Saccharomyces cerevisiae S288C: one gene and its partners. The protein of the gene in region 2 purifies or fractionates together with the protein of the main gene of each other region. This does not show direct contact. Each region holds a gene or a part of one and is shown on either strand. Other genes may lie near its edges.

What was found.
Region 1: the proteins of ECM16 (region 2) and UTP4 purify together in Saccharomyces cerevisiae (affinity purification with mass spectrometry; 6 studies listed by BioGRID). This does not show direct contact.
Region 3: the proteins of ECM16 (region 2) and DIP2 purify together in Saccharomyces cerevisiae (affinity purification with mass spectrometry; 5 studies listed by BioGRID). This does not show direct contact.
Region 4: the proteins of ECM16 (region 2) and NOP58 purify together in Saccharomyces cerevisiae (affinity purification with mass spectrometry; 7 studies listed by BioGRID). This does not show direct contact.

What each region holds. Positions count from the first base shown.
Region 1 is NC_001136.10:1,113,917-1,118,752, reverse strand, and holds UTP4 (small subunit rRNA maturation protein UTP4), read left to right. Parts: upstream 1-1,989; coding exon 1,990-4,320; downstream 4,321-4,836. Other genes in the region: condensin subunit YCG1, read right to left, coding at 1-1,627; PEP7 (phosphatidylinositol-3-phosphate binding protein), read left to right, coding at 4,726-4,836. UniProt on the Saccharomyces cerevisiae protein: Involved in nucleolar processing of pre-18S ribosomal RNA. Required for optimal pre-ribosomal RNA transcription by RNA polymerase I together with a subset of U3 proteins required for transcription (t-UTPs).
Region 2 is NC_001145.3:522,101-528,019, reverse strand, and holds ECM16 (ATP-dependent RNA helicase ECM16), read right to left. Parts: upstream 4,325-5,919; coding exon 521-4,324; downstream 1-520. Other genes in the region: POM152 (Pom152p), read right to left, coding at 1-216; SAS2 (histone acetyltransferase), read left to right, coding at 4,675-5,691. UniProt on the Saccharomyces cerevisiae protein: Probable ATP-binding RNA helicase. Required for 18S rRNA synthesis. May play a role in restructuring of the pre-rRNA.
Region 3 is NC_001144.5:398,083-403,032, forward strand, and holds DIP2 (snoRNA-binding rRNA-processing protein DIP2), read left to right. Parts: upstream 1-1,574; coding exon 1,575-4,406; downstream 4,407-4,950. Other genes in the region: APC2 (anaphase promoting complex subunit 2), read right to left, coding at 1-237; NEDD8 ligase DCN1, read left to right, coding at 448-450, 545-1,351; low-affinity Zn(2+) transporter ZRT2, read right to left, coding at 4,712-4,950. UniProt on the Saccharomyces cerevisiae protein: Involved in nucleolar processing of pre-18S ribosomal RNA.
Region 4 is NC_001147.6:896,269-899,927, forward strand, and holds NOP58 (RNA-processing protein NOP58), read right to left. Parts: upstream 2,093-3,659; coding exon 557-2,092; downstream 1-556. Other genes in the region: U4/U6-U5 snRNP complex subunit SNU66, read right to left, coding at 1-119; DGK1 (diacylglycerol kinase), read right to left, coding at 2,788-3,659. UniProt on the Saccharomyces cerevisiae protein: Required for pre-18S rRNA processing. May bind microtubules.

The DNA of each region.
Region 1 (4,836 bases), on a different chromosome or scaffold from region 2:
AATGGAAGGATGAAATATTGTCGTCTTCTTCATCCTCGTTAACTTCGTCATTATGTGTGCCGTTTTCGTCCTCTTCATCGACGGAAGTCTCATTTCTGCGATTAATCTTCTTGCTTTTTATTTTCTCTTCTTGTTCTTGTTTTTCAATATCGTCGTCTCTAATATCATTAATGATTTCTATTGCCATTGTTACAAAATCTTTTTCATTTATGGACAGACTTTTCATTACACGAATACCAATTTTAATAAGAGGTTCGGAGAGTGTAGTTAAGGCCAGCATATTTCGTACCACTGTAAGCATCGATCTCCTTCCAACCTCATCGCTATAATCATACCTTTCGGCGGCAATCGATAGTTGCTCAATAATAAACTCTAAAGTGTTATAATCAAAATGCGACTGAGAGTCATTAGAAATGTCGTTGTGATGATATCTGAGAAGAATATAATGGTTTAAATGCTCGGATAATTTTGAGGCTTCTGGAAAGTTTTCTTCCAGCATTTCTGTTATATTATTATCCAAACAGTACAAATAAATAGCCCGAAAGAGGAAGGCAATTTCTACGGTAAAGTCTTTCCAAATACTTTCAGGAAATTTGATTTTAGATAATATATCTGGCCTTGATTGAAAAAGTGCTTCTATAGCCTTAACACACACTGAGGATCTTGAGACATCCAATTTTTCTAGTAATTCTATCAAATCGCCATCCAGAGCATTTAACCAATCATGAGCAATGAGTCTCTTACACGCATTTCTCACTGATAATTCCCTATCTTCTAAACCCCACTCAATCAATTGATCAAAAATATGCGGCTCAATATCATCGAAACACTTTCTTCCCATTGATTTCAAAATTCTCGAATACACGAGCCTTCTATTAACGATGTTTACATCTCTAGCCCTCTCCAAGATATACGGTCTAGTATTATTATCATTGATCAAATTCAGCATTGCAGCCCTCCGTACTTCAGCTGACGGATCGTTCTGGATAGAAGCAACTAGAGTTCTCGTAGCTTCAAAATTTTCTTCATTATCAGAAAGCTCAGTTAAATGTTCAGTTTGCTCTTCATCCTGAAATTTAGTTAAACAAAACACAGCCTGTATCCTAACCGTTGGTTCTCTATCATAAATCCTCTTATTTAAAGACAATATTAATAAATTGAAAAGTGATTCATCGATTTCCCCTATATTATCCATTATAACGGCTAATAACTGTAAAACTCTAAATCTGACGTTCTTGTCAGGGCTTTCCACACCACGCAAAACATGTCTTATGAACTGATCGACGAACCTTGAGAATATCCCTTCTTCATCATTCGTGAGCTTATAGTTTTGTTTTTTGGCCAATATCAACTCCCTTTCTAAAGAAGCTATAAATGCAGCTACTAACTTTACTATCCTGTCTCCGATAATCTCATTCTTTTTCAGAGGAAGGATCTTAGTAACTAATTTATCGAACCAAAAGTTAAAAGCATCTTCATAGCCTTGCTCAACAGCCTTTGACTGAATTTTCTTCAAAACTGCTATATGCTTCCTGTGTCCTGCATAAGAACCCTGTGCCTTTTGAAATACTTCAGCAACTGAGTTAAAGATTTTCGTATTAATGTCAATACCATCAGGATCTTGCATGATGGGCGCGGCCTGTTAACTTCTTTGTCTTATCCAAGGCTGTAGGCATTACTGAAGTGTTTTTGTTTGATCTTCAAAGAGCTAAAAAGGTAAACAAACACGAAGGCTCTACCCTTTCATATGCGGTGCACGGATTTTAAAAGTCGCAATAACTCAAGAATACGATAGATGCAATAAATCAGAGGTAAAGTGCTTTAGGCTAATACTATGAGCAATTCAGTATAACCTGCATTATCTCCTTGTTTTCCTTTGTATCCCCCATGATTTTTTTTTCTTGTTATTCCTCTTGATACCATATTAGGCAGGATTTTTTTCAAAAAACCAAATGAAAAATTTTCAGACTGACAAGAAAAAAGCTACGAATGAGCTCATCGCTACTTTCAGTTTTAAAAGAAAAGTCAAGAAGCCTGAAAATACGAAACAAACCGGTGAAGATGACCAGTCAGGAAAGGATGATAGTGCATAGATGCAGATTTGTGGATTTCACTCCTGCCACAATCACATCTCTAGCATTTTCACATAAATCAAATATAAATAAGTTAACTCCGTCCGATTTGAGATTAGCTATTGGTAGATCTAATGGTAACATAGAAATCTGGAATCCTAGAAACAATTGGTTTCAGGAAATGGTTATCGAAGGTGGCAAAGACAGATCAATTGAAGGCCTTTGCTGGAGCAACGTTAACGGCGAGTCTCTAAGGCTATTTTCTATTGGCGGCTCGACTGTGGTAACAGAATGGGATTTAGCAACAGGTTTACCATTAAGAAACTATGATTGCAATTCAGGTGTGATATGGTCTATTTCCATCAACGATTCACAAGACAAGCTGTCTGTGGGTTGCGATAATGGGACGGTGGTCCTCATAGATATCTCTGGCGGGCCTGGTGTCTTGGAACACGATACTATTTTGATGAGACAAGAAGCCAGAGTATTGACTTTGGCTTGGAAAAAGGATGACTTCGTGATTGGTGGTTGTTCTGATGGTAGAATAAGGATTTGGTCTGCACAAAAAAATGACGAAAACATGGGTCGTCTATTACACACTATGAAGGTCGACAAGGCCAAAAAAGAATCAACTCTAGTTTGGTCAGTTATATATTTACCAAGAACTGATCAGATTGCCTCTGGTGATTCTACAGGCTCCATTAAATTCTGGGATTTCCAGTTTGCCACGCTAAACCAGTCATTTAAGGCGCACGATGCAGACGTACTGTGTCTAACTACCGATACTGATAATAATTATGTTTTTAGTGCTGGTGTGGACAGAAAAATCTTTCAATTTTCTCAAAACACTAACAAATCTCAAAAGAACAACAGATGGGTAAATTCTTCTAATAGGTTGCTTCATGGAAACGACATTAGAGCAATATGTGCATACCAATCTAAAGGTGCAGATTTTCTAGTTTCAGGAGGTGTTGAAAAAACACTAGTCATCAACTCACTTACTTCTTTTTCTAATGGAAACTACAGGAAGATGCCAACTGTCGAACCTTATTCAAAGAATGTTTTAGTTAACAAAGAGCAACGCCTTGTTGTTTCATGGAGCGAATCTACTGTTAAGATATGGACAATGGGAACCGATTCTAGTACAGAACAGAATTATAAGCTAGTTTGCAAGTTAACTTTAAAAGATGACCAGAATATCTCAACTTGTTCTTTATCACCTGATGGACAAGTTTTAGTCGTAGGGAGGCCCTCTACCACTAAAGTTTTTCATTTACAGCCCGTAGGTAATAAATTGAAAGTGACTAAACTAGATAATGACCTATTATTGAGAACTTCCACAAAATTAGTCAAGTTCATCGATAATTCCAAAATTGTCATATGCTCTTGCGAAGATGATGTATTTATTGTGGATCTAGAATCTGAAGAAGATGAAAAACCGCAAGAAGTTGAACTTTTGGAGGTTACTTCAACTAAGAGCAGTATCAAAGTTCCCTATATTAACAGGATCAACCATTTGGAAGTAGACCAGAACATTGCAGTAATTTCTCGTGGCTGTGGAGTCGTAGACATATTAGACTTAAAAGCAAGGATTTCTAAACCACTTGCTCGTTTGAATAATTTCATCACCGCTGTTCATATCAATACTTCTAGAAAATCTGTAGTAGTAATTACTGCAGACAATAAGATTTATGAATTCAATATGAATTTGAATTCGGAAGCCGAGAATGAAGATAGCGAAAGCGTATTAACTCAATGGTCAAAAAACAATACGGATAACTTACCAAAAGAATGGAAGACATTAAAAGAGAACTGTGTAGGGATATTTTCAGACATAGAAAATAGTAGCAGATTATGGTTTTGGGGGGCTACTTGGATATCAAGAATAGACTTTGATGTTGACTTCCCTATAAATAAGAGAAGAAAACAGAAAAAACGTACACACGAAGGGCTAACTATCACAGATGAAAGTAATTTCATGAACGACGAGGAAGATGACGAAGATGACGATATTGATATGGAAATCAGCGAAAACTTGAATGTATTATTAAACCAAGGAAACAAAATAAAGTCCACAGATGTACAAAGAAACGAAGAAAGCTCCGGTCACTTCTTCTTTACTGATAAATATAAACCTTTACTGTTTGTTGACTTAATTTCTAGTAATGAATTGGCAATAATTGAAAGAAATCCATTAACTTTTCACTCCAAACAAAAGGCGTTTATTCAACCAAAGTTAGTGTTTTGATTAATTTAAGTCAACATACCGAAGAATAGAGAGATGCTATTAAAAGGCTATCATACTCTAAGGGCATTTTTCAGTTACAAAAAACTCTAATGGCGTTAGTACTTTATAGAAACTCGCTAATGTAAAATAGCCAAGCACATACGCAGACATATATATGTAGTAATCACGTATGCAGACATTAAATGTGAGCCATTTATTGGTATAAATGTATTCCTGAATTACAAAAGTACTGGCGATGGAATCACTCTGGCTATCACTGTTATTTCCAGGCAGGGTAATACTTTGGGAAAACAATAGAATAATGAAAACATATGATCAGTAGCTAAATTGACCGACCTAAAGAGCAAAGCCGGATCTCATGGTTTTTAAAGGGATATCACCGAATTTCCTGGCGACTTATCTATTATGGATCTTGAAAATGTTTCATGTCCCATTTGTCTAAGGAAGTTTGATAACTTACAAGCACTAAATGCACATTTAGATGTTGAGCATGGGTTTAACGATAATGAAGATTCA
Region 2 (5,919 bases):
TTTTTCATCGCTTATGTTACTTTCAGTACTTTTAAAGCTCCTCGAGCGTAAAGGTCGGATTTTCTCAGCGGGCTCATCGTCACTATATTGGAAGCGTCGTGTTGTGTTTACATTAGGACGACTGCTATAAGATGGACGTGGTGATCCTGACACAGAACTGCCCATCCAATGGTTCCCTCGTGGAGTATCATTAAACACGTTATATCTGTGCTCCATTATACAAGCCTCCTGATAAACGTATCTGGTATGATAAATCTATAATCCGTTTTGAATTGGTTCGATGAGTTTCCTCTTATTATGTCTTAAGCAATTCTTACTTTTGTTCAATAAAAAAAACGTATAAAGTTATTGACTACGTATATAATGACATAAAATACATAGTGCTATAGAACATAATGTTTTGAATTATGAAGGAAGTTAACATTAAGTGGTTGCAATTATTTGATGCCCTAGATAGGAATAATGTATTCTTCCTATATGTTCTTATATAATGAAACTCTATTTCTATAATACCAGCGCATTATTTTTTTTCTTTCTCTTCACCTGTGATGGTCTGGAAGCCCTTTCTGGTGATAAACTTAATGACTGTCCACTGGCCTTTTTGCTTCTTCTGATGCACTGCTATAGGATTTAAATCCCAACCAATCTTGAGATCGTTGTCAACTGTGGATCCAAATCTAGGAACCACATAACAATACCGTTCCGTAGGTGATAAATTAACGGTCTTCAAGCCTTGACCAGTCAGAGGTTTACTGTATGTCAAAAGAAGTCCCTTTCTTGCTATGTTCGCTAAGGGGGTGCTTGCGATGTCACATAAAGTATTCATCCTTGTTTTATTATTTCCACCAAGGTGCAAGGAATAATAGAGCATGTATTTGGGTGGCATTTCCCCCAAATTATTTAAAATTGAAGTCGGATGGATATAGACAAAGCAGTCCTCGATATTTGGTGTTCTCGTGGCCAAAACAGGAATATAAGGAATGTTGATTATGGAAGTTCTGTTGGTTATCTTAGCATCATCTGGAAATAAAACATCTGCTCTTACGGCAACATGGTCGACAAAACCAGCGCAAATCATTTGTTTTAAAAGTTTTATTTGTATGACGCTTGGAATATCACTTTTCAAGTCTTCATTCCTAATTACTACGGCAATATTTTCTTTTGAAGTGTTGGACTTGATGATATACATTAACTGCTTCCTCAATTTTACTATTTCTTCCATTAGTTTGCCTCTTAAAAAATTTTTCTTCATGAATATTTCTTTTTGTTCCTTTGGAACGTAGTCCATTGCACTTACAACACTTAATAAACGGAATACGTCACTAAATTTGTCTAATTTACTAAACTGACTCCTGCTTTTATAGAATTTACTGCGCAATTCCTTTTTCAGTTCAGGATCCATACCTGGTGTTGATTCATCGTGCTCTCTAATCTTATCATCTAGATTTTCATCTGGATTTGGTTTTCTAGAAATTTCGTTTATTCCCAACTCAAATTCATTGATAAAAGGATCTCCCACCGAAAGGGCACTAACAATTGCTACAATATAAGGAAGGCAGGCTTTTTCGTCAGAAACAAGTAACATTTTGGAAAATCTGGGTGAAAGTGGGAACAGGCTCATTTTTTTACCATCTTCAGTAATCATCTCCTTATTATCAAGAGCACCTAAATATTGCAGTAATTGTATTGCCTTGGAAAGGGCAACTCTATCTGGAGGAGTTGGAAATGGAAAATTAATGATATTATGAATGGCCATGCTCTTCATTTGTAACACGATGCTCTCCACTGGCATTCTTAAGATTTCAGGTTTAGAGAACTGTTCGAAATCATGTTCAAAAACAGCAGACGAATATAAACGGTAACAATGGCCTGGTCCAGTACGACCTGCTCTACCGCTTCTTTGATTGGCACTAGCTTTACTTACCCAGCCCACTTCAAAACTCTGTACGCCATTTGATTCATTATATTTACGCTCTTTAGACCTCCCGGAATCAACAACATATCTAACTCCAGGTATAGTTAACGATGTTTCTGCAACATTTGTTGCAACAATACAAAGCCTAGAACCTTGAGGAGGTTTTTGAAAGACTCTCATTTGTTCCTTGGTTGGTAATAGAGAATACAGTGGAAGGACATATAAAGGATCGTTAGCTGTTTGCCCTTCAGTTAGGACTTCTTCAAACCCTTCTTCCTCTTCGTCTTCCTCATCTTCACCGTTTCCACTGTTACCTTCATCTTCTTCGTATCTTATCGCGCTCTTGAACTTATCTTGATCGATAACTTGTACACTGAAGTCTATATCCTCAGCCTCCAAATCTGTTGTTTTTGAATTGATACCCATTTTAGAAACGGGTGTTTCTAAATCTTTGTTGTACTTGGAGTTTTTCTTAAAAGGAAATTCCTTTCTTAGCCTTTTTACCATGTGTGTAATTTCCTGCTGACCGGTTAAAAACACCAATATAGCGCCAGGAGGAAGTTTCTGGTGAATTTTGCAAGTCTTTCTGAAAGCCTCGTCTGTATAGTTGAATGCAGTTCTACGATTAAAGTGAATAGAGACTGGAAACTGCCTTGCATCAACCTGTAAGACAGGGGGCGCTATGGGGAACAATGTTTTGTTTTCGCTGAAATCTGATACCCTTAATGTAGCTGACATGATGATGAGTTTTAGCTTCTTGTGCTCGATCGGGTTCTCCTTATGTAGTTTAGCTCTTAACCGAACACAACGGCTAAGCATACCGATCAAAATATCAGTGTTAATGTTTCTTTCATGTGCTTCATCTATGATAATGGAGGAATATTTAGTCAACTTGAAATCGTGCATCATTTCTCGTAGCAAGACACCATCTGTCATAAACTTGACCTTTGTGTCCTCCTTTGCGGTAGAGTCAAACCTAATTTGGTATCCTACTTTATGACCATGGTCCCCCAATTCATTAGCTACACGTTCAGCCATGGACACAGCGGCCACTCTTCTTGGTTGAGTGATACCCACCATTCCTGGGTAATCTGGAGAATCTTCGGCACCAAACCCAGCCTCATATAAAAATTGTGGGACTTGTGTAGTCTTACCTGACCCCGTTTCACCACAAATAATCACTACATCATTATGGTGAATAGCCTCCATAATTTTGTGTTCTTCACCAAATACTGGTAGTTGAATTCTTGCTTTCTGAATTTCATCTGATCTGCTAACTTCAACATAGAAGGCTTTACGGGTGGAATTCTCGTTTATTGGAACATAAGCTTCTTGGAGACCATCATCTAAATCTTCCTTTCTAATTATCGGTTTATAATCGATGTTCAAAGTGGGAGTAACTAGCTCTTGATCTCTACCTTCCAATTTTTTTATTTCTTGATTGGCCCAATCCTTGAATTCGTTAGCAACATCATTTTGGTCAAATTTTTCTGAGCCAGTTTCACTATCTGCGCTTTCAACTTCTTCGAGTGGGTTTTCACTAGGATGCATTTTGTCTTCTTCTTCCTGATCCTCCTCTTCGTCATCATCTTCAGATGTCGTGTCGAAATCCATTTCATCTTCTTTCCCATGCTTCTTCAATTCTTCCATTTCTACTCGTTGTCTCCAATTATATTTCTTCTTCGGAGTTTTGCTTTCTTTGTTTATGACTTTTATATTGCTAAACCCAAAGCTAAGACCAGATCCACCAAATTTTGCTGGTCTATGATCAATAAAACCTGATGATTTCTTCTCCTCATTGTCCGTTGGTTTCGGCATACTACCAAATGAAGCCTCGAAATCATCTTCGCCGTCATCATCCTCAGAGCTCCCTCCTTCACCATACTCATCCCAAACTTTTGGTTCATATTCTTCGTATAATATTTCATTTGTTTGTTCATTTCCTCTTCCTTGACGTTCTAAACTCAGTGCTTCTTTGAATTCTTCCTTTTTAGTCTGCCTGCCCTCTCCTAACCTTTTAGAGCTTGTCAACAAACTTGTATCTATCTTATAATCTTGAAGTTTACCAATAATTGTCTTTCTTTCCTCTCTTTTTAATTGATGTTCAATAAATTTATCCAGTCTTTTCTTCTTCAATCTCGAAACTTTCGATTCCTTTGGGGTAAATAACTCCTGTAGTTTTCTTTTCTTCATTTTCTTTTCTTCTTCAGTGAGAGGTTCAAGAATTTCCGCATTGGCATTTGGCTCCGTAGTAGAACTCTCAGCGGGAGCTGAATCTGGGTTTTCTACTCTTTCATCGTTTTCATCCTGTCTAGTGAACTGCTTATTCCTAATTCTTTTCAGTTCTTTTAATTTGGCCATATGGCCGGATCTGGCTTTTTCATTAAACCTTTTTCTGTAAGTACCCATACTTATATTTCTTAAGACACTCTATTATTAGTATTGGGTTGTAATTGCATTTTTATAGCATATAGCACTTGCTATTAACAATAATATACTAATACTATAATGAGCTTTCAATACTCAGCTCATCGCCAATGAAAATTTTCGGAACACCCAATCATCATGATATGTTAGGCGCGTAAATATGAAGAATAACAGAATCGTTAATCAGAAGAGATGATGAAATCATTAAGTCTTGTCCATATCGAACTGGATAGAGTATGTAGCGCTCTAAGAATCTGTTAAATTGAAGTTTGATTTTTTGATATTGGAGGCTCCTATTTTCTAGTTGCTTTTTGTTTTCACTCGCAAAAAAAATGGCAAGATCTTTAAGTCAATCACTCACAGCGACTACCCAGAAGCTAAAAGGAAAGAAGAATGGTGGAAAAGGCAAGAATAAGCCCTCAGCAAAAATTAAAAAAACTCAAAAAGAGATGCTATATGGAATACTGAACGAAAGGAACATAAGACAGATTCAGTTTGGACTGAATAAAAAATTCTCTACTTGGTATGGGAGCGCCGTTTATTTCGATCCTGAAACAAAAAGGCTAGGGTGCTCCGAGACCAAGGGTCAGCTTTCCTCTGTTTCTAACAGCCAATACTGGCTAGACACTCTTTTCGTTTGTGAATACTGCTTCAAATACACGGATGATCAGACGCGGTTTGTAGGACATGTTGCAAGTTGTCCATTTCAATATCGTGTTCCAGGCAAAATAAAATACAAGAGTCCTGAATATACAATAAGAAGAGTAAAAGGATCCAAGTATCAACTCTTTTGCCAATGTCTTTGTCTTTTCACTAAGCTATATCTGGACAATAAATCCATGTATTTCAAAGTAGATCATTATGAATTTTACATAGTTTATGAAACTGGATCAACAAAGCCGATGGGATTCTTTTCGAAAGATTTAGTGTCATATCAGCAAAATAATCTAGCGTGCATCTTGATATTTCCCCCATATCAACGACGTGGATTAGGCCTTTTACTTATCGAGTTTTCATACAAACTATCCCAATTAGAAGGTGTAATATCAGGGCCAGAAGTACCGTTATCACCTTTTGGACTAATCGGGTACTTGAAATATTGGTCACAGATACTCTGTTGGCACCTTATTGAAGGTGACCTCGCCCATTATGATAAAGTGACCCTGGAGGATCTTTCCATCGTGACTGGAATGAGAGTCAATGATGTTATTTTGACCTTGAAGCACTTGAACTGTATTGGGGAGAATAACCAAATTTACTTGCAGTCATTGAATAGCTGGTTGAAACTACATGGAACAAAACGGAATTGGTTCAAATTAAAAGATGAATATTTGCTGATAGATGACTAGGAATCTATTCAGGATGTAACTTAATGGCATATGTATTTCAGGATAGAATATCGCTCGATGAATTCCTGTACAGACAACTACAAACGGACGAATTTTGTCTGACCAAGTTAAGAACAGAGAACTAATGCATAAAATTTGTTTTGCTGCAAAAGTTTCCCTTTTTTTAGAGTATAAATATCTTTTATAGCAAAAGACTTAAAACAGGTTCACGTTTTTATTAGCCGTTTT
Region 3 (4,950 bases), on a different chromosome or scaffold from region 2:
TATCATGCTATATGGCGATGTGGTTGCGTTATTAGGGAAGAGAACCTTAATGATATTCTTAATACGAAGGCTTGGAGGACGTAGTTGATGGTTACTCTTGGCATCATTAGGGCTCATCCATGTAAGTAAAGAGTTCAAATCATCGACTATGTTTGTGTGAAAGATGTATGAGGAAAGTGTTTGTAACTCATCTGTAATAACTTTCAAATCTCGAGTTGGGGTAATCTGAAATGACATGATGGAAAAACCTTAACTATAAGCCATAAATATTTACAGTCCCGCTAAGTCTGGCTTTCGTCTAGTTTTCGATATTTTGGCTCTTTTGTCTATTACTGTTTTTGTAACCAAAGGTTTGAAAATTTAGATGCAACTAATGAACTTACGCAGTAACATGCAAGTACCCAATAAAAAAAGAAATTTTTGAAGAGACGTTCTTGCATTCAGGACATGGTATGTTTTTAATTTCGTTTCTTTAGTTCTCAGGCTCTTCAAAGTACTAACACTTTATTGGCAAGGGGCGCTCAAATGTGATGCATCATTATAGAGTAATAATAAAATAAAAAGAAAGGATGCAAGCCCGGAACAAGAGGCAATTGAATCATTCACCTCATTAACCAAATGTGACCCCAAGGTATCCAGGAAGTACCTGCAGCGTAATCACTGGAACATCAATTACGCTCTCAATGATTATTATGACAAGGAAATAGGGACGTTTACTGACGAGGTTTCAACTGTGGCTCATCCACCCGTATACCCGAAGGAGCTAACACAGGTATTTGAACACTATATCAATAACAACTTGTTTGATATAGACTCACTGGTCAAGTTCATTGAGGAGCTAGGCTACAATCTTGAAGATTTAGCGACATTATGCTTAGCCCATTTACTGGGGTACAAGAAACTAGAAGAACCCTTAAAACGAGAGGACTTCCTGTCAACATGGTTTATGCAAGGCTGTTCCACCATTTCAGACATGCAAGAGTGCATCAAGACGTTAGATGTTAAATTACATGAAGACTTACAATATTTCACACAGATTTATAACTATGCTTTCAATTTGATTCTGGACCCAAATCGAAAGGATATAGATACAGACGAAGGCATCCAGTATTGGAAGCTATTTTTCCAACCAGAGTACCCAGTGCGTATGGAACCAGATTTGCTTGAGGCATGGTTCCGTTTCCTTCGCGATGAGGGGAAAACCACTATAAGTAAAGACACCTGGCGTATGCTGCTCCTCTTTTTCAAACGATACCCCACTATTCAGAAAATAATAAGCGATTACGACGAAACTGCAGCCTGGCCATTTATTATCGATGAGTTCTATGAGTGCTTACAGGATCAGCAATAAACATCCTTTCATATACTTAAGGGTATGCTGTTTAATATTGCATGGAATACGTTACCCTTCTAAGATAGATGGGAATAAGGCGGAAATAAAAAACGCGATGAGCAGTGGAAAATTTTTCAGAAATTTTCAGTTCCCTCATAATATAGATGTAGATATTGTATAAGGTCGTACGTATATCAGAGTAGCCACTAGAAGGACCAGAGAAACTGGAATAAGAGCTATTATGGTCAAATCATACCAACGTTTTGAGCAAGCAGCTGCTTTTGGTGTAATAGCCTCCAATGCCAATTGTGTTTGGATACCTGCGTCATCCGGAAATAGTAATGGTAGTGGACCAGGACAATTGATTACGAGTGCTCTCGAGGACGTTAATATATGGGATATTAAGACCGGGGATTTGGTCAGTAAATTATCCGATGGCTTACCTCCAGGCGCATCTGATGCTAGAGGCGCCAAGCCAGCCGAGTGTACATATTTGGAGGCTCATAAAGATACGGATTTATTAGCTGTCGGTTACGCAGATGGTGTCATTAAAGTTTGGGATTTGATGTCTAAGACTGTGCTTTTGAATTTTAACGGTCACAAAGCAGCTATAACATTATTACAATTTGATGGGACTGGCACAAGATTAATTTCTGGTTCCAAGGACTCCAATATCATTGTATGGGATCTTGTTGGAGAAGTTGGTCTTTATAAACTTAGATCACACAAGGATTCCATTACTGGCTTTTGGTGTCAAGGAGAAGATTGGCTGATCAGCACCTCCAAAGATGGAATGATCAAGCTATGGGACCTAAAAACACATCAATGTATAGAGACACATATTGCGCATACTGGAGAGTGTTGGGGCCTTGCAGTGAAGGATGATTTACTGATCACAACTGGTACTGATAGTCAAGTAAAAATTTGGAAACTGGATATAGAAAATGACAAAATGGGGGGGAAACTAACAGAGATGGGTATTTTCGAAAAGCAAAGTAAGCAACGTGGGTTAAAGATTGAGTTCATAACAAATTCGTCTGACAAAACCTCTTTTTTTTACATCCAAAATGCTGATAAAACCATCGAGACTTTCAGAATTAGAAAAGAAGAAGAAATAGCAAGAGGTTTAAAGAAAAGAGAGAAGAGGCTAAAAGAAAAGGGGTTGACAGAAGAAGAAATTGCAAAATCTATTAAAGAATCCTACTCCTCCTTTATATTGCATCCTTTTCAAACCATAAGATCATTGTATAAAATAAAATCTGCATCATGGACAACGGTCTCAAGTTCCAAACTTGAGTTGGTATTAACTACATCGAGTAATACCATAGAGTATTATTCCATTCCATATGAAAAAAGAGACCCAACAAGCCCTGCTCCTCTCAAGACACATACTATTGAATTGCAAGGGCAAAGAACGGATGTGCGTAGTATTGACATCAGTGATGATAACAAATTACTTGCCACAGCATCCAATGGTTCATTGAAAATATGGAATATCAAAACACATAAATGTATCAGAACTTTCGAATGTGGGTATGCATTAACTTGTAAGTTTTTGCCAGGTGGGCTACTAGTCATACTGGGTACAAGAAACGGGGAGTTACAGCTCTTTGATCTAGCATCATCAAGTCTTTTGGATACCATTGAAGATGCACATGATGCGGCAATTTGGTCGCTAGATCTGACCTCAGATGGTAAACGATTAGTGACCGGATCTGCCGATAAAACTGTCAAGTTTTGGGATTTCAAAGTTGAAAATAGCCTAGTGCCAGGTACCAAGAACAAATTCCTGCCTGTTTTAAAACTGCACCATGATACAACTTTGGAATTAACTGACGACATTTTATGTGTACGGGTTTCTCCTGACGATAGATATCTAGCCATCTCGTTGCTGGATAATACTGTTAAGGTATTCTTTTTGGACTCAATGAAGTTTTACCTAAGTTTATATGGGCACAAATTACCTGTACTATCTATCGATATTTCATTTGATTCTAAGATGATTATTACGTCTTCCGCAGACAAAAATATCAAGATTTGGGGTTTAGATTTTGGTGACTGTCACAAGTCTTTATTTGCCCATCAGGATTCGATTATGAACGTTAAATTCTTACCACAGTCTCACAACTTCTTTAGTTGTTCTAAAGACGCAGTGGTGAAATATTGGGATGGCGAGAAATTTGAATGCATTCAAAAACTATACGCTCATCAGAGCGAAGTTTGGGCTTTGGCGGTTGCTACTGATGGCGGCTTTGTTGTTTCTTCATCCCATGATCACAGTATAAGAATCTGGGAAGAAACCGAGGACCAGGTATTTTTAGAAGAGGAAAAGGAGAAAGAACTTGAAGAACAGTACGAGGATACATTGCTAACTTCTTTGGAAGAAGGAAACGGTGATGATGCATTTAAAGCTGATGCATCGGGTGAAGGCGTTGAAGATGAAGCATCCGGTGTTCATAAACAGACTTTAGAATCGTTAAAGGCTGGTGAAAGACTTATGGAGGCGCTAGATTTAGGAATTGCTGAGATTGAAGGTTTAGAGGCATATAACAGAGATATGAAGCTATGGCAAAGAAAGAAGTTGGGTGAAGCGCCAATAAAACCACAGGGTAACGCTGTTCTAATTGCTGTGAATAAAACTCCTGAGCAATATATTATGGATACCCTGTTAAGAATAAGAATGTCTCAGTTAGAAGATGCACTGATGGTTATGCCATTCTCATATGTCCTCAAATTTTTAAAATTTATTGATACCGTTATGCAAAACAAAACTTTGCTGCACTCTCACTTACCATTAATTTGCAAGAATTTATTTTTCATTATCAAATTTAATCATAAAGAATTGGTTTCTCAGAAAAATGAAGAATTGAAATTGCAAATAAATAGAGTAAAGACTGAATTAAGAAGTGCATTAAAATCTACCGAGGATGATCTAGGCTTTAATGTTCAAGGGTTGAAATTCGTCAAGCAACAATGGAATCTAAGGCATAACTACGAATTCGTTGACGAATATGACCAACAGGAGAAAGAGAGTAATAGTGCAAGGAAGAGAGTTTTCGGGACCGTTATATAATAAAACTATTATCCTACATAATACCGGCATTACTCTGCCCTTTTCACACTTCAAAAGGATAGATTAAATTATCTGTATATTATACAATTCCAATCATAAAAATTGTCATTCCGATTGCCCTTCGGTAATAATGGGCATATCCAAATAACGGAATATGTGTTTTTTATACTTATTGGTCGCTGACATATGCTGTTTTTTGCGAGATGTCTCTCGTCTCTGCAGAGCAGTTGTAAAATTATAGGTCATGCATTTTTTTTTTTTTGATAATGAATAACTATCTAATCTAACAAAATATACGTGAGATACTATGCCCATTTCCCTAGAAGAGCCATTAAAGCAGCTCCACAACACATGATGAGATATGCACTAAGCATTTTTTTGAGGCCATCAGGTCCTTTGAATTGATTAGAGTATAAGAATTCATGAGCCATTAATTCGACTAGTCCAGTATAAATAAGAATTCCTGATGATATCGAGTCAAAAACACCATTAGCAATTAATGCTCTTCTAGAGCCAGGTATCCAAGAGTGTCTGACACCAATAC
Region 4 (3,659 bases), on a different chromosome or scaffold from region 2:
ATTGACAAAGACTCTTTATGGTCTGTATTCTTTTCTTGAAAAACTGGAATAGGTTTCATACCCAGCTTTTCCCTTATTTCATTTGTCTCCTCAATAGAAAGGTTTTCCGTTTTGTTCATAAATTAATTAAGGGTTGATGTGATGATTGCCTTTTTATTAATATCAAATAGTAACGATTGCACCATCTCATCCTTTGCTCACTTTCAAAAATTTTGTATATCTTTTTCGTCCCGCGAATAATTTTAAGTTGCGCAGTTCACGATATGAATACCTATAACTGCTAATGGTACAAATTTTTTAAAGGTTAAACAAAACTTTTAATGATATAAAGTACCTAAAACTATGTAAACATAAATTATGTATACTATTTCAAATATATCACCTAAAAAAAATAATAAGTTCAATTCAATATGGGCGTACAGCACTAATTTACAGATTATGGAATAAAATATGAAATGAGAAATAGGTTAAGCATTGGATAATTATAGAAAATTTTCTAAATCCAAATAAAAGGGAACGCGAGGGGTCACTAATTATTAAAATGTAAAATGCATCCTTATTTCTTCTCTTTCTTCTCTTTCTTGGACTTCTTTTCCTTCTTCTCTTTCTTCTCTTTCTTCTCCTTCTTTTCCTTCTTTTCCTTCTTTTCCTTCTTGTCCTTCTTTTCCTTCTTAGCTTTTTTAGAATCCTTGGAATCTTCATCATCGTCTCTCTTTCTCTTCTTTTCTTTCTTTTCTTTCTTTTCTTCCTCTTCATCATCAGAATCGGATTCAGAATCAGAAGCAGCCTTTGCGGTATCAGCATCTGCATTGTAGGCCCTAGCTTCAGTCATTTCCACCTTCTTAGCCTCACGAACAACCTTTGGAGTAGTTCTTAAATCTCTACCTTCTAATTGGGATAATCTATTTTCTACTTTGGCTCTTGATTCTAGACCAATGTCACCTGAATCGTCTCTATCTTCAGCTAAAGCATCATAACGCAATGAGACAGCGGCCTTAGCAGCCAGAACTCTTGCAATCTTACCTTTGTTCTTACCAGTAGCTTGACCAACAAGAGAGGCATGATATAGCAAACCATACTTTGGTGTATCATGCTTGGTCTTTAAAGCTCTGAATAAAGCCTTTTCGGCACCTAATATTTGGATGGTAGAAGCTGGTGATTTGGCCAAGGAAATTAAGGAACCTGAATGAGCGATAAGTCTAGCACCAACTAATTCACCAACCAACTGAGTCAAGTTTGGAGCAATAGCCTTCATTCTTGCAGACAAGTAATTGGACAACTGTTCTCTGTAAGCGGCAAATTCGACTATTTGTTCAGCTAAAGCATTAATGTTGTCTAGATCGGTTTGAGTGATTTCAGTACCCATAGACACTTCAGCAGCGGTTTTGACACGTTCTTCAATCTCTTCTGGTAAGATTTCACTCAAATCTGTTTCAGAAGCCTTGGATCTGATACCCATTGTTAGAATAATTCTCGCATAAGCGACGGAATCAGTAACAATCTTAGCTAACTCAGGAAAGTGCCACCCGTACCATTCTTTACATCTCATGGCATATGTGTTTAATTCTTTATCTAAATCATCCAATAAAGCAATTGCTTGAATAATCATAACATCAACTTTGTCAGCAGAAAATTTTAATTTGTGACGACCGATGGAATGAGCTAAACCCAAAGACATCTTGCTTAGATCATTATCAGACATACCTGGCAGCAATTCTGGCAAATATTCTTTGATAGCTCTATAGATATCTAAGGTTACAGCATCGGAAACAACATTGAAGTTCAATCCCAACTTATTAATAGCGTTTGCCAGTTTAGTTTCACTAACAATCAAGGTCGACTTCTTGTCCTTTTTAATTTCTTCCAGAAGTTTTTCTAATTGGGAAGAAACTTTACCTTCAATAATGGAGTTGGCTTCCTCTAAAGCGTTAGCTGCAGAGTTGAACTTGGAAAAGGCGGCGATCTTGAATTCCTTCAAGACTTTGTCAGAGCTATCCAAGTCTTGAATTAAGCTTGAAGATTTGTAGATTTTCTTATCGGAAGCTTTTAAAAGAGCATAACCAGCTGAAGTTTCAGTTAAAACGTAAGCCATTGTATGAGGAGGTTGAGGTTCTACAGCTAATTTGGTATCGACTGCTATTTCAAAAATAACTTATATGCGAAATTTTTGCGAAAGCATAAATAATTCTTGCTTTTCTGAAAATTTTCGATGAGGTTGAAAAATTTTCCAAATTTCTTTTTTTCTGTTCTAACGTACACAATGATATCAATATCAATAAGGCCACTGGGCGGTAATCGCAGATAAACCATATATCCTTGAGATGCCAAGATAAATGAACGCTGGTTCAGGATCTTGGTAATCGTATTTCGCAGGATTGTTCTTTTTTATTGTTCTCTGATATGATTGCTTTGTGACAAAGTTGGGGCATGAAAAAGCCTTTTTTTACTGATGAAAATATGGTGTAGGTTTACGATTAAATAATAATGTTGCGCCCCATTTGGATGCGCTTGTTGGCACATATATTAGTAACATAAATGTTTTCATAAAACTGCTTGTGTCGAATGTTTCTAATGGCGTGAAAAATACGGAAATACTGCTGAATAATTTACACAGGTTCTAACTCTATACTCGGATATGTAGGATATTTAGAAAAATAATTTGTGGATGCCAAAGATCGAAGAGGTGCTGGATCGTTAACCACAGATAAACTGAATCGCGCACTCCAGTTACTGTAAAAAAGACTTACCGAAGAATATAAAACACTCCTGTTTTTGGTATATATGCTTTTATTTCTTGAATGTTTTGATTACTGCGTTCATAAAAAGTGATGACAGGACAGGAATAGTGAAATTATCATCCCAGTTGAACAAATCTATACCTTCACTCAAAGCAGCTACCACACCACCTAACAAGGATAGCATATTCAAACTTAATCTGCTTGTTTCTGGGCTCCATTGGATCTCGCCAGGTTTGTTGACGTAGCTGTAGGCAGGAACAAAATAGCCATAAAATACCCAGCAGGTGATAACACCAACTGTAAACGCAGCTATCGAACCTGCAAGGGATTTATTTCTTGCCACTTTGGGTGTTAAATGACCATACTTTCTTCCAATAGTTGCGGCGGCTGTATCGGACCAACTTAGCAAAAATAACGATATTAAGGTAACATCTTTAGAGAAAAAGTTAAAAGAAAAGATTAACCCAAGAATGTACCACAATACCCCATTGTATGTATGAATCTCCTTTTTTCTCATTAGCGCACCCACAGTTCTACAGTAAAGCATATTGAAAAAGGGCCAGTTTAGTCTTATCAGATCCAAAATAAACAATATGATGAAGGCGTATATCAAAGGCCATAAAACATTTTTATAATTAATACCCTGCGTATACAGGTACAAAGTAATAAAGCCAATGGAAGAATGGAACACCTTACGGGGAATTTCATGTTTAGTTATAAAATCGCCGAACCATTCATGAGATTTCAAATGTATTTCTGTCACTGGAACGTGTGCATCGTCATCGCTACTACTAATTTCTTCTTTTGCTGGAATCGTTACTTTCGCCGAGACTTGATGACTCTTAGATGATAGTCTTTGCTTAGCTTCGGTACGCGGCTCTAGCGTGCTATTTGGAAGGGCAATGGCATCTTCGGTCCCCA